2 linked regions of the Callithrix jacchus genome follow. The protein of the gene in region 1 interacts with the protein of each later gene in a pairwise test. Links are inferred from orthologs where the notes say so. Each region holds a gene or a part of one and is shown on either strand. Other genes may lie near its edges.

What was found.
Region 2: the proteins of ZC3H12A (region 1) and AHSP interact in binary tests that used the Homo sapiens proteins (3 or more experiments, as listed by UniProt). The two-hybrid records come from large-scale screens. The link is inferred for Callithrix jacchus from reciprocal best matches to the Homo sapiens genes ZC3H12A and AHSP.

Annotation. Positions count from the first base shown.
Region 1 is NC_133508.1:74,031,680-74,035,494, forward strand, and holds part of ZC3H12A (endoribonuclease ZC3H12A), read left to right. Parts: intron 1-2,680; coding exon 2,681-2,820; intron 2,821-2,976; coding exon of another isoform or gene 2,977-3,094; intron 3,095-3,815. UniProt on the Homo sapiens protein: Endoribonuclease involved in various biological functions such as cellular inflammatory response and immune homeostasis, glial differentiation of neuroprogenitor cells, cell death of cardiomyocytes, adipogenesis and angiogenesis.
Region 2 is NC_133513.1:31,026,188-31,029,122, forward strand, and holds AHSP (alpha-hemoglobin-stabilizing protein), read left to right. Parts: upstream 1-1,424; 5' UTR 1,425-1,540; intron 1,541-1,647; 5' UTR 1,648-1,651; coding exon 1,652-1,726; intron 1,727-1,972; coding exon 1,973-2,206; 3' UTR 2,207-2,317; downstream 2,318-2,935. UniProt on the Homo sapiens protein: Acts as a chaperone to prevent the harmful aggregation of alpha-hemoglobin during normal erythroid cell development. Specifically protects free alpha-hemoglobin from precipitation.

The sequences.
Region 1 (3,815 bases):
TGAGCTGGGTCAGTGGCAGGAGGGGAATTCCAGCCTGAAACTTCCTGTCTCAGCTGCTACTCGGTTCCTGCCTGGCTGCCCCCCTCCCCAGGGGCAGATGGGCTAGCCCCCATCATATGCAAATCATGGGGAAATTCACCTCTGTTTCCTTCTAAGGGAATTTTTCTCCACTCACCAGGCCCAGCCCAGGCATATCTTTTCACCTGGGGAGGCTGGCCTAGCCTTGCCCTCTGTCCTGGGGCAGGAGCAGCCTAGCTGGAGCCTTCTACACACACACATCCTACCAGCGTCGGCTTAGCCAGTCTGGGGGACCCTGACCTTCCGGGCAAAGAGGACTGGGGTGGGGGTGGGGATGTCTGGTTTTTCTGTGCCAGCAGAGCTTCCTTCAGTGCAGTGAAAGAGACAAAAGCTAGCGGCAGGGGAGCACTCCAGGCTCATGTGCTCTACCAAGAGAAGGCTCTGATAGTGCCCACTGATTGCAGTTTTTCCATCTGCTGAGGGAATATTCAGGTGCTAGGGCTTCTGAGAGCCGACTTGTCCTCAGCCAAGATTTTCAATGCCCAGAGGCACTAAACTGCCCTGGGAACCCTGGCATCCCATTAGTTCCCAAGGCTCCAAGATATAGCCTAGGATCATGTGCCCGGAGGGAGGCGGGTGGGTGGATACAGGCACACACTGCATACCTTGGATGGGCTGACCTAGCTGCCATGGTTTTGAGAGGCAGGGCACAAGGCCCAGGGAAGGGGGTAATGTGATGGGGAAAGCACTGGGCATTGTGAAGACACAGACCAGGGATCTGACCCATCATGGGAAGTCAGGGAAAGCTTCTCAGAGGCAGTGACATCTCACTTGGGTTCTGAAGGAGGAGCAGGAGTTTGCCAGTGGCATTGTTTCTCCCATTCGCCACCTCTGATAACACACTTTGTTCAAACTCAATTTTGGGAGCTTTGTTCTCCCAAATAATTCTGGGTCTTCTGTTAGAGACAGGAAGGCAACCGAGTGGCCCAGACCTGGGTTGGAGTTCTGACCGTCTCTTACCACTACTAGCCAGCAGACCTTGGACCAGTCCCATAGCCTTCCTTTCCTTCACGGTAGCAAGCCCTGTCAGAATGAAGGCAGCGGGAGCTCGGTGTCTGCGAATCCCTGCTCGCTCCCTGTGACCAGCATGGGTACCCCTGCCTTTGCACCTGCCTGAGCATTGCCATACCTGGTGGTGATGAGCATAGGCCCTGGGCCTGCGTCTCCGTTCCACCATGACTGCTGTGTGACCCTGGTGACTAAGCTACCCTCTCTGGACCACAGTTTTCATCTGAAAAACAAAGAAGGGGATGCCGTAGTGCCCTTCTCACAGGCTTGCTGATGATTCAGTGCTAGGCACTTAGCACAGGGCCTGTCTCCCTATAATTTAGAGACCTGGTGCCCCAGCCTTGCCCCTAAGGCTGCTCCATGGCCTCCAGCTGCCCCACCTCCCTCCCTACCTTCTCTTAGGGCTCCAGCTATCATCCCTTACCTCCCACCATTAAAAACACCCACAGGATGTGGTCGGCCCTGGACTTGCCTCTTTTGCGTAACATTTATTCTGTTTTACTTGCCAAATGTGAGAGTCTAAGCTGTTAACTGAGGGGACTGTGAGAGGCAGGGCCTCTGGTCCCAGGAGCTCTTCCATGGCACCTAGTTCCCTCACCCTCAGGAAATCCAGTTGGAACCCCCACTTTGCAGGGCCATCTTTGGCCTGAAGCCACCCTGAAAACTATCTCGCCAAGTGACCCCTCTTAAACTGTGGACTGCTGGGCCCATTTTCAGATAAACAGAGCTGCAGCAGCCCAGGAGCCCCGCCACACGTCCTTCTGTCCTGCGTGCAGCCACCTGTGGGTGGGGCACAGCTTGGTCTGAGACCAAGGCAGGGCCGATGTCCCCTCACTCAGCTGTCCTTGCTAAGAGGCCCCTAGCATCTTCCTGATGGTTTTTCTACCTTGGAGAGAAGAGGCGTTTGGGGGAATTGCCATCCTGGGAGGAAAAGCAGTATCCTTTCACTTTCAGGCTGAAAGGCTGCCGGGGAGCCTGCCCCACTCCGGGGCTTTCTGTGCCACACTGAAGGCTGGAGTCACCAGCCCCTTCCCCTTTGCCCTTCTCAGGCCCCAGCCCCTGAGGTGTGTTTGAGGACTGAACGTTAATCCGGAACAATCTGGTTTCTCCTCGGTCAGCCCACCCGGTGCTTCCCCCGCCCCCACCCTCGCTGTAAGAGATGAGGGAGGGGTGGTGACTCAGTGTGCATGTGTACATCTGTCCCTGTGGTCCCAGCAGCTCTTCGGGTGGGGCAGGAACCAGAAGTCTGCCGGCACCTTTCCCCCACCCCCAGGTGTGTTGCAAGTGGCCTGGCCCTCCCCCACCGTGGGGAGCAGTGCTGCCAGCTTCCCTGCACTTCCTTACTTTCAGGAGCCTCAGGGAAAGTCCCAGCGGGGCCTCGCCATCCTGGAGCTGTGGGAACTGGCACTGAGAATGGAGGCCTTGGGCCCCACCTGCAGAGGCCAGGGCCTGAGCCCCACTGCTCACCACTACCCTACTGCTCACCAAAGTCAGGGCAGGGTTAGGGGTGACTGCCTCCCTCCTCCTGCTCAGGCCTAGGGGGTAGCAGGCTGGCCATTGGTGTGGGCTAACCCTGTCCTCCTCTCCCTCCCAGCCATGGGAATAAGGAGGTCTTTTCCTGCCGGGGCATCCTGCTGGCAGTGAACTGGTTTCTGGAGCGGGGCCACACAGACATCACAGTGTTTGTGCCATCCTGGAGGAAGGAGCAGCCTCGGCCCGATGTGCCCATCACGGGTGAGTGGCACCTCTGGAGGTGGGATGGTCTCGCTGCCCCAGCCGCCCTGGTTCCCCCCAGGAGAGACCCTTTGGGAGTGACCTACAACTTCTAGAATTCAAGCAGGGACTAGCATTTCTTTTCTTTTCTTTTCTTTTTTTTTCTCTTTGAGACAGAGTCTTACTCTGTCACCCAGGCTGGAGTACAGTGGCACCATCTCAGCTCACTGCAACCTCAGCCTCCCAGGTTCAAGCAATTCACCTGCCTCAGTCTCCCGAGTAGTTGGGATTACAGGTGCGTACTACCATGCCAAGCTAATTTTTGTATTTTTAGTAGAGACGGGGTTTCACCATATTGGCCAGGCTGGTCTCGAACTCCTGACCTTGTGATCCACCCGCCTCAGCCTCCCAAAGTGCTGGGATGACAGGCATGTGCCACCACGCCCGGCCTTCTTTTCTCACTTTTTCCTGTCCTTAGCAACCCTGCTCTGAACAGTGGTCACTGGATGTCACCTTGTCCAGCCTTCTGCCTCAGATCTGGGGCTCCTCCCTCATCCTACTGGTAGGCAGGTTGCTCTTTCAACATTCCCAGTGGCAGAGGGGCTGTGCCACATAGTGGTTAAGCCTGTGGGCTCTGAGTCAAGACAGCCAGAGTTGGAGTCCTGGCTCTGTCCCCTCCTGGCACCCTGGCCGGGCAGGGACCTCTGTTAGCCCTGCTCTGAGCCACGTGCTCCTCATCTGAAACATGGGGTCGATGGTGGAGAGTGTTGACAGTAGTGCCTTCCTCACAAGGTCATATGAGTTAACACATGGTGAGTGCTGAGAAGAGTACCCGACACATGGGAAATGCTCAGTATATGTTAGCTGTTACCATTGTTCTTGCAAGAGCCCCCAGCCTTTGGAAGTAAAAACGGAATCAGTTTCTCTAGAAGTCTTTAGATCTGGGGGCAGCCAGGCTGGGACTGCAGGCTCCAGGAAGAGGGGCCCTTACCACTTGTGCACATCTGTGTCCTCGT
Region 2 (2,935 bases), on another chromosome or scaffold:
AAAGGAAAGAATATCTGGAAGAAAGTATAATCCCCTAGCTGATGTTACTTTTCCTCCTGAAACCTGCAATGGGGCTGCCCAGGCCTTTGTCTCCAATTGTTCCATTTACTTGTAGGAAAATGAGACTTGGTTCTCATCATAGTTGTAGCAGTCATGATGTGCATGGCCTCAAGGAAGTTCCAGAGGATGTTTTAGGCTGCAGGGGACATTTAGAGGATGTTTCTTTCCAAGGAAAATGTTCATGTCATGACTTTTATTCCACTAACATAATTTGAACATACAGATGTACTTTTAAATAATGGGCCAGATGACCCCAGTTTATCTACTGGGATATACCTGTATTTGCTTAAAGAAGTGCAGTCTTCTATTAGGGCAGGCGTCCTTTCTACTGTGGAGATTTGCATTCTGAGATCCTGTGAGTCTGAGCCTGTCTGTTAGGAGCTGCCCCTGTCTACTATTAGGGTGGCCTCTTTAGCTTTGGCTCTACACCACGTGGCTGGAAGATTTTTTTTTACTTTGAAAGGGGGCAAAAATGATACAACTTTTCAGTGTACATTTTTGTATTGTTTTAATTATTTCAATTAGTATGTAGTGACTTTGAAATCTGAGAAACATCTACTGAAAATGGAAAATACTAGGAAAAATATTTAAAAAGAAGTATTTCTGCTTTATTGGGTACCTGTCGACATGGTAATGAACAACACAAATGCATCTCCATTCTTTATTTTGTATTATTATTTTTTCTTTGAGATGGAGTCTCGCCCTGTCACCCAGGCTGGAGTGCTGGGGCATGATCTCAGCTCGCTGCCACCTCTGTCTCCTGGGTTCAAGCAATTCTCCTGCCTCAGCCTTCCCAGTAGCTGGGACTACAGGCACACACCACCATGCCCTGCTATTCATTTCCATTCTTGTGGAGCGCAGCCTGGTGGAGTTTGATCTACATGCTTACAGATGGCTTATCTGCAAAATGTGTCTAAAAAGAAATTTTATAGGATAAATTTTTATACATGTTTGAAACTGGCACAAATGAATAAATGTAATGCAAGCTGTTATTAATACATCATCTCTGAATTAGGAGAGTAATTGCCATCATATCATTGTGATTACACAAAGCCTCTGTCATGTAACAGGGTCTCAGTAAATGTCAATTTCCATAGCATTTCGAGCCTGGATACTGAGACATGGGGCAAAGGGCAAGGACATGTCCCCGGTTTGGCTCTTGCATTTTCTGGTTTCCTCATTTATCTGTATTTTTTTTCTTTTCTTTTTGCCTTGTTATCTTTCTAACTTCAGGGAAGCCTCTCCCTTCTTCTCCTCCCCAGAATGACCTATCACCCTCCTTCAGGACCTAGTTGCAGGGCGTTTCTGTTTTAGGCTGACATTCGACTCCTTGCCTACATCTATAGCTTGGCACAAAGAGATTCACACACCCTCAAGAGCGTGGGTGAGACATACACAGCCTGTTAGAGCTGAAGGTGATGCTAACCTGGGAAATCATGACCTCATAGCAGAGCAGGATGTGAGAGGTTTTGGAAAGGAGGTGGCCTTGCAGGGCAGGAGGGATTTTTAAGGGGAGGTGGTGGATTGGGAGAAACACCCAGTGAAGAGGGAAACGAATATGTAAATTCTACCCTTTTCTCTACCCAGACAGATGGCTCTTCTTAAGGCCAATAAGGATCTCATTTCTGCAGGACTGAAGGAGTTCAATGTTCTGCTGAATCAGCAGGTGAGTCCAGGCTTTCCCTTTCAAAGGACTGGCCTGGAGACTGGGGGATGGAGGATGAGGGCAGAAAACAGAGGGTAATTGGAGCGGATGAAGTAATGGTGGAGTTGATGGAAACAGCAAGAGACGCGGGATACAACGCAGAGGAAAGAGGATGTGAGAGCTGGTGTTGCCAGACTCTTCTGAGTTTTCTGAATTCCATTGCTGACCACATTCTCCCTTGCCAATTACCTCTCCGCAACCCCCCAGGTCTTCAATGACCCTCTTATCTCTGAAGAAGACATGGTGATCGTGGTGGAGGACTGGATGAACTTCTACATCAACTATTACCGGCAGCAGGTGACCGGGGACCCCCAAGAGCGAGACAAGGCTCTGCAGGAGCTTCGGCAAGAGCTGAACACTCTGATCAACCCTTTCCTGGCCAAGTACAGGGACTTCTTGAAGTCTCGTGAGCTCCCGAGTCACCCACCGCCCTCCTCCTAGCCCAGGGACCCAGACCCTCCTCTCGGAGAAACTCTCAGACCTTCCTGTCCTCAGGCTATGCTCTTGCTCTACCCCGACACCTCAATAAAGAGCAGTGCTGGTTTTGTTGGACTTCCTGGCTTTTCTTCCATGGTCTGTCCTGACTTGCGGAGGCGGTCGGTCCCTTTCCTCCCGCCCTCCCTCTTAGATATGCTTTTGGAGGCTTAATGCCTTAGATTGGAGGTTAGCAGCCTTGAGTGACCACTGGGCATCGATTCTAAACTAAAACAGGCTGAACGAGGGCCAGGAAGGCGGGGACTAGAGAGGCGGTCGCCTGCGCGGGGAAGGGGGTGGCAGAAACAGGAAAGGGGGATAGAAGCCCCCCAGACATGGTCCGTGGACCTGCTTGTCAAGGAGGAAGCTGTTGGAAGTCTCCCGGTCTTGTTCATCCTGCGCCAGGTCCCCCGCCTCAGCTTTTCAATCCCCTGTTCGTAGCCCCAGTTCAAACAACATTCTGGGATCTTCGGACTCTGACTACCAAAGAATACTTCCTCGGAGCCCCGAGCATTGCAGGAAGTTAGAGCTGGAAGGGATCTTGGGAACCCTTCAGCGCGCCCCTTATGTTTCAGGCGGGTGAGCCCCTTCCCTTTGGGTCCAACATCCCTGGGCGCAGATACCAGGATTGGGAAGCAGAGGAGCCCGCCTTCCCCCTGCCCCAAATTTCTCCGGTCAATTCCCGGCCTAGGGGCC